Pelodiscus sinensis: one gene and its partner. The protein of the gene in region 1 interacts with the protein of each later gene in a pairwise test. Links are inferred from orthologs where the notes say so. Each region holds a gene or a part of one and is shown in the gene's direction. Other genes may lie near its edges. The genes, in order: PDIK1L and C23H1orf174.

Region 1 (8,581 bases):
AGTGAATAACTTTTTCTTATTCACTTTTTCCACACTAGCCATGATTTTATAGACGTCTATCATATCCCCGCCCCCCCAACCTACTCTCCTCTTTTCTAAAATGAAAAGTCCCAGTCTTTTTAATCTCTTGCCATATGGCAGCCGTTCCAACCCCCTAATCACTTTTGTTGCCCTTTTCAGAACTTTTTCCAAAGCCAAGGTATCTTTTTTGAGATGAGGCGACCACATCTGCAGGCAGTATTCCAGCTGTGGGCAGCCCGTGGATGTTACAGAGGCAGTAAGATAGTCTCTGCCTTATTGTCTATCACTTTCTAAATGAGTCATTAGGAAGAAGCCTCTCTCCCGGCAGCCTGAACCTCGTCACCAATGGAACGTTTTCGCGTTGGCCTGTTCCTGGGGGAACCTCAGCAGCGGAGTTTGTCCCCATCTGTGGAGCCTGGTCAGACGAGACCCTTTATCTGAAATCACAAAGTGCCACCTAGCGCCACAAAAGCCAGGGTTTTATTTTTCACATGTGCCCATTGACAGCTGCTGTGGCTATTCTCAGTCCTGCCTCCTTACCAGAGGATTTGCAGACTTTGGAAAAAGCTCCTGGTGACAGCATGGCCAGGATTAAACTGGGCACCGGCCCCTTCCAACACTGCGAGTCCCTTCTTTAAAGTTCTCCTATGCTGACAAAGCTAGGGTCAACTCACAGGGTAACAGGCTAGAATGATATTCCTGCAGGGTGGGGAACCGTTTTTGGGTCGAGGGCCACTGACGCTCAGAAATATCAGTCAGGGGCTGCACACAAGTGAGAAACAAACAAATCCACCCCTCACCAGCGTGGAATCCCCAATGCTGGGGGGAGGCCCTAGCCTCAGGAGCTGGATCCAGGAAAGCCAGGGGCCGCATGTGGCCTCCGAGCCTGGGCGTAATGCAACAGGAATGAAGAGTGCAAAGCTGAGAGGTGTCTGTTTCTGAGATCAGGAAGCATCCAGAGTAATTTGACTGGGGTGGGGAGGGGGCTGGACGTCACAGGGGAATGGTAATGAGAGAGGGAACTGGTCACCCGGGGTTTGCCCAGTCTAATCCAGCCCGAGCAGTTAGCAATTAACAGTCGTCGCCTTGGGTGGCTTTTTGGTGGCCTACGTGAAACGAGTTTGTGCTGAGACCCACCAATAAGCAGTTGCCCCCGTCCCAGCTGCACGGAAAAGTGGCTTTAAAGTTCTGAATTGCAACAAAACGTCAATATCACAAAAATGGTCCCGAAGTGAAAAGATGAAAAAGTGTTTGGGTCAATCCAAATATCCGGGTTTTGATCATTCCACGGTATTCCCGGGCAGGGCGGGGCTCTTCTGCAGGATCCCTGGCGCCAGCAGAACCGTGGCAGAGATGAAGAGGGTCATGCACACACAGAGAAAGAGCTTCTGCCTACGACTCTGGGGGGAAGCTGCTCCATCCGCATGCCTCGGGCACCAAGTCACAGCGCCGTACGACCACAGACCCCACGAGCCCCTTCGTGAGCCAAAGGGACTGCAGCACAGAGCGATGTGCTCCAGGGAGAGCAGGCAGAGATCAGATAGTCCAGGCCAGTTCCTGCTGTTAGCTGATGCTCTGAGCAGGGCGGATACACCCAGCATCAGCGAGCTGGGGGGTGGATATGGACTCCATTCACGCGTTGCACTAGTTCCGCTCCAACAGTGAAGCTGGTGGAACTTCACGGGGAGACGGAGAAGGCCATGCAGCCACGGCAGCAAGACTTGCAGGGTGGCCAAGAGACAGACGCCAGGTACCGGGAGGAGCAGAACCATGTGTTCAATTCACAGAGCAATGACTCATTTGACTCAGGAGCCCTCAATTTTCCTTCCCAGAGGGGGTTGTAACCCCACAGCCCGTCCCTGCAAGAGCCAGTCTCGCTCCATGCACCGTTCACTCACCTGCAGCTGCTTCTTTGAGCCAGCTACAGTTCCCCAGGCTTCCTCCTGGTGTCACCGGCTCCCACTCAAGCCCTTCTGGCCTGGGTTAGTCACATGAGCTTTGATCCCTCCTCCCATCCCAGTAGCTAGTCTGAAAGACTTTAAATATCCACAAACAGCTACAATTAAACACAAAGAGTTGACTTAAGGGAGGGATAGCTCAGTGGTTTGAGCATTGGCCTGCTAAACCCAGGGTGGTGAGTTTAATCCTTGTGGAGGCCATTTGGGGCAAAAATTCATCAGGGTGGTACTTGGTCCTGCTGTGAGGGCAGGGGACTGGACTCGATGACCTTTCAAGGTCCCTTCCAGTTCTAGGAGATTGGCAATTTAAGATCTTCCCCTTTTGCAATTGAAGGGCCTGCCTGTAATCCACTTGGCCACTAGATGTCAATACAGTCTCACTCTGGGAACCTGCAGTGCTGAAAAGGGCACTAGCTGAAGATTTACAGTATTTCCTTATTACTGGTACCAGTAGACTAACTTACAGTTGCAAACTCCCGCCCAGCCCTCTGTCCCATTGAAGTTAAAGCTCAGAATGCTTGCTTATACTTTATGGCAAGGGTGTCGTTATCGTTTATATCGGGTCAATACTTTACTGATAGATGCTGCAAATATGTCAATGTGATGAGTAGGTGGATGGCTGCTGAGTTCATTGGTGGTAGGTGCAATTGTACAAACCATTTATAAATGTACCCTTAAAATAACGTAAGAAGATAAAAATGCCCAGACTGGCTCAGATTAAAGGTCCATCCAGCTCAGTGTCCTGGCAGCCAACAGTAGCCAGTGCCAGGGGCCCCAGAGGGAGGGAACAGAACAGAGAACCATGAAGTGATCCCTCTCCCATCACCCATTCCCAGCCTTTGACAAACAGGCCAGGGGCACCATCCCTACCCGTCCTGGCTAACAGCCACCAATGGGCCTAACCTCCATGAATTTATCTAATTCTTTTTTTAACCCTGTTAAAGTCCTAGTCTTCACCACATCTTCTGGCGAGGAGTTCCACAGGTTGACTGTGCGCTGAGTGAAGAAAAACTTCCTTTTGTTTGTTTTAAACCTGCTGCCTATTGATTTCTTTTGGTGACCCCTAGTTCTTATGTTATGGGAACAAGAAAATAACTTTTCCTTATTTGTTTCTCCATATCTGTCATGATTGTATAGACCTCTGTCCTATCCCCCCTTAGTCTCCCCTTTTCTAAACTGAAAATCCCAGTCTTTTTAATCTCTCTTCATCGAGTGTGATCTCTTAAACACCTGCATACAGATAGATTATGAAGTGACTGCTGCAACATGAACCCCTTTTCAGCATTGGCTACCTAACTCTCCCCATCAATAGACTCGAACAGTACAGTGGCAAATGTGGAGGGACAGAGTGTGGCTTAACTAGATTAGGGAATTATCCGATCTCTATTGTACACTCTTTCTGCCTCCCTTAATGCCATCAATGCACTGATACTGTCTGATAGCTACTATTGCGAGCCTAACGGCCAAATTAACATACCACACAAAATAAATGCTGACTGAGTTAATCAGACAGGCTTCATCTTACGGCAAAAAAAAAGTTAAAAAAAAATCTAAAGAGTAAGATGTTACTTCCACACAATAAAAGTGGGCACCCTGTACTCTGTACTAGACTGTCCATACTGGGACCTCGGTGCAGGGCCCTTCCACTGTTTTTCCTAGGCAGGTGCTTGAGAATGTTAATGGGTGTGAGTGTGTCTGAATGTTAATGGGTGTGAGTTGTGGGTGTGTGCAATGAACACTGATCCCTGGCCCAGTCCATGTGAGAGTGTTATAGGAAGATTGACACCTGACCGTCTTGTGCTATGAAGTCCAGGGGCACTAAACATGTATGTGCAAGTGGTGCCTTTGCTCCCACATTGATTTGGGATCAAGAAGATGGGGCCTCAGGTGGCTGCCATAGCTTCTGAACTGCATGTCTTGCAGTGGCTAGTATGAGAGAGACACCACATAGTCAGGGAGTGTGTCCACACACTTCCCAGCAGGGAAAAAATGCAGACATGTCCCTTTAAGGGAAGATACCAATAGCCCTCCATCCTCTAGACAAGAGGGGGGGAAGGATCTTACCAAATGCTTGCATCCTTCAACGTGCTTGCAGTTCCCTAAAAGGCATGTCCCCATCACACAGTGACAAGGGATAACAAAAGGTGCAGTCCTCCTCCCTGGGTGGCAACCAATAAGCGACAGTCTAATGGGGGCTGCTTTGTTTTTTTTAAAAAAAGCGAAATTATGATTTTGTAATGACAAAGATCTAATTGCGGACGATAAAAAAATGAGAAATGCCTTAAAATTCAGCAGGACACTCAGCAGCTAGGAGGGACAGGCACGGTAGGTGTTTGCACAGGGGGGCTGCAGCAAGCAGGAGGCAGCAGCGTCCCCTGGGGGAAGTGGGTGGGGGAGGGCTCGGGCCAGTCCTGTGCAATTCAACCCATTACGACCGAAGAGGGCTGCACGTTGGGTTTGCACCTGGGGTGTTGATACGAGCTGCGTGGCCGCACAGCCCCCGCCCCCCTCTCCCAGCTGCGCGAGGTGCCCCCCCCCCCCATTTGAGCTGCATCCATGGCGCAGCACCCCCCACTGCATCCTACCGGGGGCTACACGAACCCGCCTCCCCCCATTCCAGCTGCTTTAAATGGGGCAGCCTCATTGCCGGGCCACTCTGGGAGCTGCACCCATGGTGCATCCTTCCCCTCCCCCCTCCCACGCATGGAACCGAGGGGGAGCATCCCACGCGGCAAACAGAGGCGCGAGCTCCCCGGGAAAGTCCCGCCCCGTGCGCATCCGGCCCCGGCCAATCAGAAGCGGCGGCGCGCGCCACAAAGCAGGCGCGGGGGCTCGCCCGCCCTTTCAGCCAATGGGGAAGCGGCCAGGGCGGCGCGCGCGCGGGAGGGGAGCCCCGGCGGCGGCGGGGGCGCGCGGAGGGGGGTGTGTCGGCGCCCGGAGTGGGGGAGGGGGGGAAGAGAACCCTATAATGGCGGCCGGGAGGAGCGCGCGCGGCGCTGCTGAGGTAACGCGGAGGCGGCCGGGAGCCCCGCGGGCCCGGGGCTGCAGCGCGGCCTGAGGGGAGGGGCCCCTGGCGCGAGGGAAACCCTGGCGGGAGGGGAAGCTGCGTCCCCCGCTGTCAAGCTGAGGGAGGGGACTGGGGGGGCGGGGCTGAGGGGGACGGATGGGGTGGGGGCGGGGCTGGGCTGAGGAGAAGGGGGGTGGGCTGGGGGGGCGGGGCTGAGGAGAGAGGATGGGGCGGGGCTGTGCTGAGGAGAAAAGGGGGGTTGGGGGGGGAGGCCTCACCTGCTGGTGCCTGGTTTGTGGGGCCTCGCCTGCTGGGGGGGGGATTTTCCTGATGCTCCCCCCTTGTCCCGGAGGGGGGGGCAGCTCTGGCCTCCAGGGAGGACTGGAGGCCTGGCCTGGAACCCTGCTCATGGGGGGGGGTGCAGTATAACGCGCCACTCTCCCCCCCCCCCCTATTTTTTCCAGGACTTGATTTAAATGTTGGGGCAGCCCATGGGCTGGAGACACCTCAGTAAAAGTCATTTAAGCCACCAGTCCCTCAGCACCCCCTTCCTTTAGGGGTCTGCTGCTCTGTGCCGAGAGCCCTCCTGGAGGAGCGGGGTAGAAACTGTGAAATGTGCCACTACAAAATATACAGGGGGAGCCTTCTACCCCCCCCAAAGCCAATCAATGTCCAGGCCCTGCTCCTATAGCCTAAAGAACCAGAACCATGGAACGGGCACGTTTTGGGGTTTCCTGTGTGGGTCAGTTTTCACCATCATTTCTGTTAACCTCACCGCTGATGGTTAACTGGGTTACTGCTTATTTAGGAATCTGACAGAGTGGGCTTAAGCGCATGGAAAGCTTATGCCCAAATAAATGGGTTAGTCTTTAAGGTGCGACAGGACTTCCTTGTGTTTGCTGAAACAGACTAACAGTTACCCCTCTTCACAGTCTGTCTTCTGGGATGTGAGGTTTGCTTAGATTAGATTATTGTATAGGCTCTGATGCCTTGTGAGAGGAGGGGCTTGTTGAATTTGGAAATCTCTTCCCCCCCCCCCCCCCCCAACTCTTTAGGACAATGGGGAAGGACAGGTGGCAGCCTTTTATTTACCTATAGACCTGCTTCTGTGTAAACTGATGTTTCAAAGGTAAATTGTGCTCCCTACTGTTTGAGCCTGCAATGACCATAGCTTTCTTTCACAACTACACTAATTGTATGTAGTTTTTTGACTATCCATACTTAATGCCTCTTTTGTGTGCGAGTGCCTTTGTTTTTGTATGTTCTTGTTAATTTACCTTAGCATTTAGTCTGCACTGTTCTCCATATGCTTATATCACAATATAGGAGCAGGTTGAATAAATATTACTATCTGAATCTCACGTTGTACTGGCATTTCTGTGGGGAATTTATATTTAAATGCATTCAGAATTGTAAACTCACATAAAAGATGTTGCTGCCACATCTCCATATATCTGCACTAATGGTGTCATGAGACGGATATCCATTATTTCTTTTATGGTGCACGCTTTGTAGGTACTTGAAAGTTGATTGATAGTTTTGCTTCAGCGAAGTAGTGTTTAGTGAATGGTTTCCTGTGGTAAATACAACTTGCCTGCGATACTAACTTCTAAAATCATTTTCATTCTAATACCCTGACTTGCTCGTTTTCTATTTAGTCCTTTGTTTTTTTGCAAGTCATTCCACTTGGCCAGTGATGATAGCCAAAGTTTATTTTCTGTCTATTTAGTGTTCCTTTCTGGCTTGGTTGCATTAGTGAGTAATGTTGTATTTTCTGGTATGTAACCTTGCAAAGAAGATCTTGGGTATGTTCCCATTTTTTAAAATATGAACATACTAGTTTTAGTCCTTCCTCCTTCCTTTCATAATGAAACTAGAATTTGAATGTAAACAATGTAGAATGTTTTTAAATATCTTGCCCAGTTTAAACTGACTGTTCAGATTGTATTTAATTTTTATAAATTAAAAACATTTTTTAAATACTCCTTTACCTTGGTACTAGAAAACCATTTAATAAACTACACCATAAAACATTTACCCATGCTGTCTGTGACTTTCCACTTAATGTAGTTTGAAACAGTGCGTAAGATCCACTAAGTATGTGCTTCTGCTAGTACCTTTACTGGAAAATGCTATAAAATGTGGGGAAAGGAAGCACTGTACTCCACTGATACTGAACAAAATGTTAAAGTAAAAGATGCTGTGAGATGTAACAGTTTTAGCCTGACCTAATGCAAGTGAAAGCTAGAAATGTTGTGGGCTTGAACTGTGAACATGTTATGATAAATGCTGGCTAACATTATATCACTAGCCTAAAGTGTAACACTTGAAAATCCTTCTTGGCGTTAATTGTGGCTTTACTGAACAAGTTTAATGCTTCTTCATATTGGTAACATCTGAAAATAATGGCTCATTACAATCTTATTTAAGTTTATTGAATGGAATCCTGATTTTAAGCACAGTGATTAGCCCAAATGATACTTAATTAACTGATTCAGAGAGGAAAAGCAGATCAGTCATTATTCATAGGATTTTTTGTCATGTGATGTTTTTTTCCCCCCTCCCCAGAACCCTTGGCCTTGAAGATGGTGAGTAGCCAGCCAAAGTACGATCTAATACGGGAGGTTGGACGTGGTAGTTACGGTGTGGTGTATGAAGCACTTGTCAGGAAGACCTCTGCACGGGTTGCAGTGAAAAAAATTCGGTGCCATGCTCCAGAGAATGTGGAACTAGCGTTACGTGAGTTCTGGGCACTTAGTAGTATCAAGAGCCAGCATCCAAATGTTATCCATCTGGAGGAGTGCATCTTGCAGAAAGATGGTATGGTACAGAAGATGTCACATGGTTCTAGTTCTTCCCTCTATTTACAGGTATGCGAAGGAGGATGGGAATAATTTTATGGGATCTGTAGCTGAACAGGAAAAGGGGGAAGATTTGGCCTGCTTCTTTCTTCATACAGTGTAAATGATGGTATGAGGTCTCTAGATGTTTGAATACCATCTGCTAAACAGAATTCCCTGGATTTTCGGATTCATAGACATGCAACTCTAGCAGACTTAATAAAGTCACACCAGTAAAATTATATAACACTGACAATTTAAGGAAATGAAAAATTTACACTGTTGCATGTTCTGGGCAAAAGTCTTTACATTGGCTCTGATCGATTTCTGATGTATTAAGCAGTGAGTAGTCCAAGGCTCCTGAACTCACAGCAGTGGCCAGGAGCTGCAGGAAACTCGTATTGGGGAATTCCCTGTAGCAGCCAGTGCCCCTGGTATTCACAGATTTCGCCATTTGCAGTGGTGCCAGGAATGTATCCACTGTGACTGGTGGGAGTTCTCTCTGTATACATGTCACTCTTTGCTGAGTGACTAGCACATCCAGTGAATACACAGCAAATTATTACTCTGTGTGTGTGTGTGTGTGTGTGTGTGTCATATGTTATCACTTTAAAGATCAATTGCTTTTAAAGATCAGAATCTGTATAGAGCTGATCAAATATGTAAAACACCCATTCCTGTTTTTAAATCCAGGACAGGTCCTTTTTATTAAATATTATAGTAGAGCTCAGTAGCGACTTAGGCCCCATCGTGCT
Region 2 (9,059 bases), on another chromosome or scaffold:
GCTGGATCAGAGAGTGCCAGATTAGAGAGGTTCAACCTGTATTCTTGATCCATTAAAACAAGAAAAAGCAGATGTGTAATTTAGTATGAATCCAGAACTCACTGAAGTCAATGGGGAGTCCTTGCATAGACTTAAGTGGACTTTGGATAGGGCTCCAACTGTTACCCAGCACATGTGCTCTGGGCATGGAAACATAGTCAGTTACAAACCACAGATACCAATAATTACTCAAAATGATAAAATAATTATTATTTTTTAAATAACTACATACTTCAATGTAGGTGTTGCATTCCTTGCTTCACATCAATTCATCTCATATTATTGGTGTCACTGGAATCCTCAAAGTTAAACAGATTTGAGTTACTAACATACTTTGTTCCCTGTGGGGTGCAAAAATGAACTCAGGCAAATCTGAATAAGTCCCTAATGGCACATATTATAAATCAAACAACAGTTACAGAAAGGAGGTGCTGTGGGAAGGGAAAAGGATCTGTAATGTTTGTAACTGATGGAGCGAGAAGGCAAAATTTGTGTTTTTCGAAACATCAGCCCACTGGGGAGCAACATAAAGCAAGATTCTTCATTTTTATAAAAAGGTGATTTTAACATAGTCCTGTCTCTGGGCAAAATTCTCCACTCCCAGCTGCACTGCCAGCCTCCAATGAATTTTTATTCATAATTAGCATCAATTGCTGTTCCACATACAAAATGTGCAGTAGAGACTAGGGATGTAAAATCCTGTTTAATTGCCACTTTTAAAAAACGAGTAGTCCTGTGGCTCCTTAGAGACTAACAAATATATATAGGTAGTATCATGAGCTTTCATGGGCACAACCCACTTCTTCAGATGAAATGATCTTGAGACATTTCATCTGAAGAAGTGGGTTTTGCTCACAAAACTCATGATACTATCTATACATATTTGTTAGTCTCTAAGGCTATGTCTAGACTACATCCCTCTTTCGAAAGAGGGATGTAAATTAGACAGATCAAAATTGCAAATGAAGCTGGGATTTGAATTTCCCATGCTTCATTTGCATAATGGCGGCCACGTGTACTTTCGAAAAAGGGCTTTTTGAAAATGAAATCGCCATCTAGACGCGGTTCTTTCGGGAAAAAAACCCTTTTTCAAAAGATCCTGTAAACCTCATTTTCTGAGGAGTACAGGATCTTTTGGAAAAGGGGGGGATACGAAAAAACCGCATCTAGTCGGCGGTTTCACTTTCGAAAAGCTCTTTTTTGAAAGAACATGTGGCCGCCATTATGCAAATGAAGTGCAGGAAATTCAATCCCAACTTCATTTGCAATTTCGATATGTCTAATTTACATCCCTCTTTCGAAAGAGGGAGGTAGTCTGGACATGACCTAAGATGCCACAGGACAACTCTTTTTTTAAAAAAAATTGTTTTTAAAGTTACAGACTAACACAGCTACCCCTCTGAGACCCATTTAATTGGTTAACCTGTTAAACATGAAGTTTAACCAGTTAACCAATTAAGGGTGCTCCAGCTCAGCTGGGATGAAGCACCCATTCAGTCCCTCTCCCATCCCCCTCACCTCCCGCCACAGGCAGGGGCTGCTCCAGCCTGGCCTGAGCAACCCCTGCCTATAGGGGAGGGGGGTGCCGCTCCAGCCCTGCTGCAGACAGGGGCTGCTCCGGAAGCCCAGGGCAACCTCTGCCTGTGACACACGGGGCCCACCAGGAACAGGGCTGCTCCAGCCCTCACCAGTTAACGGAACTCATAAGCATCATCCATTAAGGGTGACGATTACTGGTTAACCAGTTAACCTTTCACATCCCTTCTAGGAACCCAGAAGACAGAGAAGAAATCTGCCCTTTTACTATTATATCCCCTTTAAATCTCTTGTTACGCCTTAAATCATCTCCCAAAATATAATTGTTTTGTTTGTCTGCAAACTTTTGATCCTCCTTGCTTTCAGAAAGGGGATTCTATGTAAAGCATTAGCCATAATATTGAAATGTCAGGTATTCAAACAACATGTATGCCCCCCAGGACATATAAGTTTAATTTAAAATCATGGCATTTTTCTAAAACAATAAAGGTTGGGTTCTTTTTGCTTTCTGTGCTCTGAGCTTATTTAGGGGTCACATTTTCAAGCTTGTCTCCACAACCTTGAAACCTATGGATTGGCTAAATGGACTGTAAAATGGATAGAAAGCTGGCTAGACTGTCGGGTCTAGTGGGTAGTGATCAATGGCTCAATGTCAGGTTGGCGGTCAGTTTCTAATGGAGTGCCCCAAGGATCGGTTCTAGGACCGGTTTTGTTCAATATCTTTATTAATGACCTGGATGAGGGGATGGATTGCATCCTCAGCAAGTTTGCAGATGACACTAAGGTAGGGGGAGAGGTAGATATGCTGGAAGGCAGGAATAGGGTGACCTGGACAGATTAGAGGATTGGGCCACAAGAAATCTGATGAGGTTCAACAAGAACAAGTGTAGAGTCCTGCACTTGGGACAGAAGAATCCCAAGCATTGTTACAGGCTGGGGACTGAATGGCTAAGTAGCAGTTCTACAGAAGAGGACTTGGGAATTACAGTGGACGAGAAGCTGGATATGAGTCAACTGTGTGCCCTTGTAGCCAAGGCTAATGGCATATTAGCTTGCATTAAGAGGAGCATTTCCAGCAGATCCAGAGAAGTGATTCTTCCCCTTTATTCAGCTCTGGTGAGGCCACATCTGGAGTATTGTGTCCAGTTCTGGGCCCCCAAGTACAGGAAGGATGTGGACGCATTGGAGAGGGTCCAGCGGAGAGTGACCAAAATGATTAGGGGGCTGGAGCACATGACCTATGAGGAGAGACTGAGGAAGTTGGGTTTGTTCAGTCTGCAGAAGCGAAGAGTGAGGGGGGATTTGAGAGCAGCCCTCAACTTCCTGAAGGGAGGTTCCAAAGAGCCTAGAGAAAGGCTGTTCTCAATAGTGATGGATGGCAGAACAAGGAGCAATGGTCTCAAGTTACAGTGGGAGACATCTAGGTTGGATATTAGGAAAAATTATTTCACTAGGAGGGTGGTGAAGCACTGGAATGGGTTACCTAGGGAAGTGGTGGAATCTCCATCCCTAGAGGTTTTTAAGTCTTGGCTTGACAAAGCCCTGGCTAGGTTGATTTATTTGGGATTGGTCCTGCCTTGGGCAGGGGGCTGGTCTTGATGACCTCCTGAGGTCTCTTCCAGCTCTATGAATCTATGGGTATGTCTACACTGTCACCCTAGTTCAAACTAGGGTGGCTAATGTAGGCATTCGAGCTTGCAAATGTAGGCACGGACTAGGTAGTTCGAAGTAAAGCAATGAGGAGTAATGGTAGTTCGAATTAGGAGCTTTAATTCGAACTACCTAGTCCGTACCGCGTGTAGCCGCGGGCAGGGAGTTCAAACTACGGGGCATTTAAAAATGGCAGCGCCCAGGAACATGAAAATAAAGCCCAGGATATTTAAATCCCAGGCTTCATTTGAAAGCCTACATTAGCCAGGCTTCATTTGCAAGTCTACATTTAAATCCTAGGCTTCATTTGAATGCCTGCATTAGCCACCCTAGTTCGAATACCCTTAGATTCTAACCACAAGGAACTAGACATTTACTATACTTTAAATTAAAGCTGTGATTCCCACAAACTGCCATAACTCCAAGAACTGTTGCTTTGTGAGCAGTACCCATCCTTTCAGAACTCCCACAAGATGGCAACATTGAGGAAGGTATCAAATATCTTCTCAAACAGCCAAATCATTATCTATGAAATCTCATTATTTTTAAGCCAATCTCATGATTTTTTTTTTTTGAGTAGGTGAGGCTGCCTCATGATTTCGTAAAGCTTGTAATTGGCAATAGTGACCTCTCTGGGCATGATCTCTCCTCCCAGCCATGGAAACAGTTGTGGAGAATTCCTCCATGAGCGTGCACATAATTAGGCTTGGAGAAAACAAGATTTTTATGGATAAGCATCAGCAATGTTCCCTGTAATCTTTTCCATCCATGTGCAGAATAAATTGTATGTGCCCTGAGGCATGTGCGAACATGCACCACTACTAGAAACAAAAAACTTAGCTCTGGATGTTCTGCTAATCAGCGGGCAGCCCTTGACTCTCTCCTGAGTGGCCGCACAAGCTCACAGATTACAGGGAACACTGATCCCTCAGTAAACATTGATTTCACCATAATAGAAAAGGATGAAAAAAATTTCCAACGATAATGAAAATGTACAGCTAGGGAAAGGAAGGAAATTGCTTCTTGAGAACTTAGTTGGAGTGTGATTTGTGGCTATTTACTTTGCAAAGTTTGACATGTGGTGTGTTGACAATGGCTGTCTAAGGCTATAAAGCAGCAATAGTCTACCTAGGCTAGTGAGCGAGCTGCATGAGTGGCCGTCTTTCATCTCAGTGGGCCACAAGATTGTGGTAACCAAGACGGTCTCCCAGGATAGGGTACTTTTGCTCACTGTGCTTGCACACCTTCAATTTGCAGCATGTGTTGACTAAACCGTAGCACCGCTGTGATGGGACGCAGAGGGAGCACAGCTCTCCAGTCAAGTGTGTCCAGTCAGCCCGCACTTCCCTTCACAGTGCCCGTTCTTTACTGCGTGGCACTTTAGTAGCCAGCTGTATGAAAAAAATAGGTGGACAGAAAGCAGTGGCATGTGACAACTCTGCTCGTGGGCCACGGTGAACCAAACGCTTTGTGGGCCACGCAGAGCCCGGTGGGCTGCTTATAGCCCCATGGGCCACAGGCTGCCCACTTAGCTCCCTGCATCTCAGCTTCCACTGTTAGTGACCGGTCTGTGGCCAGCCATGTGCAAATGCGCGTAACCCAGTCAACGTGCCCAGCGGCTCAGGCAGCAGCGCTGGGGCGGGCGGCTCCCGGGGAGCCGGTGGGCGCTGGGAGCAGCTTTGCAGCCGGCACAGGTACCAGGAGCCTGCCAGGGACCCTGAAGGTTAAGGGCTGTTACCCTGCCACATCCCCCTCTCTGCACCCCAATGTCCCACCCCGACACTGCAGGCCCCTTAGCACCTGCGAGCGGCACCCACCCTGGGGCTAAGAGCCCTCGGCCCCCACGTGCTCGGGGCGGTGCCCCGCACAAAGATGGCGCTGACGGTTGGCCCGCCCCTCGTGCGTGCCCCGCACAAAGATGACGCCCGCTCCCTGCGTGTCTGGTCCTCGGCCCGCTCCTTACGTTCTGAGCGCCCCGCACAAAGATGGCGCCCGCTCCCTGCATGTCTGGCCTCGGCCCGCTCCTTACGTGCTGAGCGCCCCGCACAAAGATGGCGCCCGCTCCCTGCGTGTCTGGCCCCGGCCCGCTCCTTACGTTCTGAGCGCCCCGCACAACGATGGCGCCCGCTCCTTAAGTTCTGAGCGCCCCGCACAAAAATGGCGGCCGCTGCGTGAGGGGCGGTGCGGGCGCGGGGAATGCGGTGACGAGCAGCGGCCGGGGCAGGGAAGGCAGCGGGAGCGGGAGCGGGGCTCGCCCAGAGCCGCCCCTTCCTCGGCGTCCGATGAGGACCCGAAAGGTGAGGAAGGGCCGAGCTGCCTTGGGGCTGCCCGGTCAGAGCTCCCCCCCCCCCCCCCAGCGCCACACGGACCCTCACAATCCCCCCCAGCTCCCCCAACCGTCTACCCCGCACGGAGCCCCTCCCCCAGCCCTGCGCGCGCGGAGACCCCGCCCCCCGCAGCGCCTCCAAACGGCCGCCCCTGCAGAGCGCCCCCTGCGCCTCCCCCCGCCCAGCTACCCCCGCGCCCCCCACAGCTACAGCCCCCGCCACCCCAAAGATCCACCCACCCGGGCGCCTCCAGCCAGCCCCCCGCGCCACCGCCTCAGCTGCCCCCCGCGCCCACACAGCTCCCCCGACCAGCCTCCCCCGAATCACACCCACAGATCTCTTGCAACCAGCATCACCCCTGCACCCCACAGCGCGCCAGCCTCCTCCCCAAGATCCCCAATACCCCCAGCCAGCTACCCCTTTGCACAACAGAGACCCCTAGTCCTCTGCAAAGCGACCCCCCCAGAGCTCTTCCAACCAGCTACCCTCCTCATGTTACAGGAAGCCCCAGTCCCTCCCCCAAATGCCCCAAACAGAGCTCCCCCAACCGGTTCCCCCCCTTTGTGCCACTCGGGACCCCAGCCCTCCCCCCAGTGCCCCTTCCTCCATAGAGCTCCCCTAACCAGTATCCCACCCCATGCCACACAGAGTTCCTCCTCTGCATCACACAGAGCCCCAGCCTCCCCCAAAGAGGGCCCTCTCCACTCCCACCCAGAGCCCGGTGTGCTCTTTGCCCCCACAGACTGCCCTAACAAGAGCCTTCCCAGAGTCCCCCAGGGTGCGATCTTTGCGCACTGGTGGGGTTCTGTGGCCTTTTTCGCTGCCTGAGACTGGCTTCCTACCCGTGTGTCCTGCAAGTCTTAACCATTTGCAAGTCCCAGTCCAGTGGTGAGGAGTTTGAACCTCCTGCTGCCCCTTACATACATGGAGAGTGGGTTCTACCCTGCAGTTCTGGAGAGCTCTGTCATGGCCGTTTGGATGCCTACCATGATATTTTCTGAGATTTCTTGTTGCTGGAAGAGATGCTTCTCCTGCTGAAGGTGTCACAAAACCCCCACTTCCTCTTCTGGATTGTAAAATTGCATTTGGTTTAGCTTGCAGATGGAGTGCCAACTTCAGCACGCCAGAAGGGTGGAAACCATGCAGCCACCCAATTTTCATCTCCTCAAGAGGTTGATCTTTGCAAATCTACAAAAACAGTGTGTCTGGTAGGAAAAACATGTGACTTTTGCTGCCTGAGTTGTTTGAAGAACATTACTTACATTCATTTTGCAATGAGCTGTTAACTTTGGAATATTATTTAGGGGATGTTTTGACTTTTAGTAAGGCCATCAAAATAATATGTTGAGCAAAATGTTTTTATTATATTATTACAGAGGCAAAGTAATATTTTTAATTGGACCAATTTCTGTTAGTGAGAGAGACTAGCTTTTGAGTCACACAGAGCTCTTCTTTCAGGTCTGTTAAAGGTTCTAGATGTTACCGCTAAATGTTAAGGGACCATTCGGCAGAAGTGATCACCTCGCTCACCTTGTCTTGGTAATATCCTGGGACTGACATGGTTACAACTAAATGTTACTTAGTGTACACATAGGCTGTGTCTAGACTGGCCACTTTTTCCGGAAAAGCACTGACGATCTCATGTAAGATTGTCAGTGCTTTTGCGGAAATACTATGCCGCTCCCGTTCGGGCAAAAGTCTTTTTCCGAAAAACTTTTGCGCAAAAGGGCCAGTGTAGACAGCAAAGATTTGTTTTCCACAAAAAAGCCCCGAGCGCAAAAATGGTGATCGGGGCTTCTTTGCGGAAAAGCGTCCAATCTAGACGTGCTTCTCTGAAAATACTTTTAACGGAAAACTTTTCTGTTAAAAGCATTTCCAGAGAATCATGCCAGTGTAGACGTAGCCATAGTTATGCCGAGAGCAAGGATAGATGGACATAAACTTGCTTAACAGACATGCCTTGTATTAGAAATTAATATTCTATATGTCGATATATTAAACATTCATCACTGTGATTGTTCATGTATCTGCTTGTTAATATGGATGTCTCAGGAATTAGAGGTACTGCCGATCAGATATAGCTACATTTAATTCCTCAAGTTACTTCAGGGTATGGCAGAGGTGTGCAGTTTTTTTTGAACATGCAAGCAGTAATACCTAACTGCAAAAAATGCAGTGGCACCTTTTTCTTTTCACTCTAAAAACCAGGTTTTTGCATATTATGTTTATACTGCAGTTGAACTGTCTACGTTTTTATCATCATAAAACCTTGGAAATGGTTCTAAGGAAAATAGCATACTATAGTGCAACACACTGGAAGTGAGATCCTGACTTCCTGTTGGTTACTGTACTGGCTAAAAAAATTATGGGGAAAAAACCTCTAGTAATGTGCAGTTGTATCTTGCAGTTTATAGTGGTAACTTATTTTTCCTCACTTACAGTATTGTGGTTTATAATGGCAATAATGAATAGTTAGGGCATTTTCTGGTCAGTTAATGACTGGTGAGGTTAATGACTCCATTCCTTCAGCAAGTCACTAATTGCTAGGAAATAATGTGTCCTCCCCAGCAATCATTATTACTTTAATGTATGTGCAATGTGGCCTACTTATGGCTGCTGTGGGAACCACAGTTTTTTCTGAGGTTTAAAATCTGTTTAAACAATGCAGAAAGGGTTTGTTTTGTTTTTTACATCTAACTATAAACAGTTACAAAATGAGCATCAGTGTGATAGATTTAGCTTGAGAATTTGTTAAAGAATACCTTTTCAGACTCACTATATTTGTATTTTATTATATGGCCATGCAAAAAACACAATTGAGGGAACAAGTTTATACACTGTGGAGTCAGTTTTCTGGATTTGTTCACAGCATAAAGGGCAATGTGTTTATGTACTGTTTTGTGAACTCCTATATAATCGTCATCTCATAAAATAAGGTGTATAAAGTTCGTTCTGTTATGGTAACTGTAAATAACATTGTCAAAACAATCTGATGATTGGTAATTATTCACTTGGTATGTTAGTTCTGTGTTTTCCATGGGAAGATGATTCCAAATGGTGATGAAATGTTTGTAATTTTCTGAAATGTAATTGTCAAATTTTAAACACACTGTTAATCATAAAATCAGTTTTCCTTAGAGGTATAGCTTTGGATCAAATTGCAGCCTCCTAGAGAACACCCAGGTTACGTCTACATTGCGCTTTCTTGTGCAAGAACAAATGCAAATGAGGAGTGGCAATAAATATTGCTGTGCCTCATTTGCATATTTAATGAGCCACCATTTGCGCAAAGGGCTTTTGCACAAGGAGCAATCTACTCCTTCTTGTGCAAAAGCTCCCTCCTGTGCAAGAGCAGTTCTGCCTGAAAATAAGCAGCAGAACAGCTCTTGCGCAAGAGGGGATTTTTGGACAAGGAGCAGTGTAGAGTGCTCCTTCTTGCACAAAAGCCCCTTGCGCAAAAATGGCTGCTCATTAAGTATGCAAAGGAGATGAGGCAATATTCATTGC

Evidence for each region.
Region 2: the proteins of PDIK1L (region 1) and C23H1orf174 interact in binary tests that used the Homo sapiens proteins (3 or more experiments, as listed by UniProt). The two-hybrid records come from large-scale screens. The link is inferred for Pelodiscus sinensis from reciprocal best matches to the Homo sapiens genes PDIK1L and C1orf174.

The regions. Positions count from the first base shown.
Region 1 is NC_134735.1:1,688,690-1,697,270, forward strand, and holds the start of PDIK1L (serine/threonine-protein kinase PDIK1L), read left to right. Parts: upstream 1-4,856; 5' UTR 4,857-4,983; intron 4,984-6,041; 5' UTR 6,042-6,115; intron 6,116-7,554; 5' UTR 7,555-7,571; coding exon 7,572-7,856; intron 7,857-8,581.
Region 2 is NC_134733.1:22,080,634-22,089,692, reverse strand, and holds the start of C23H1orf174 (UPF0688 protein C1orf174 homolog), read left to right. Parts: upstream 1-5,382; 5' UTR 5,383-5,507; coding exon 5,508-5,522; intron 5,523-6,646; coding exon 6,647-6,760; intron 6,761-9,059.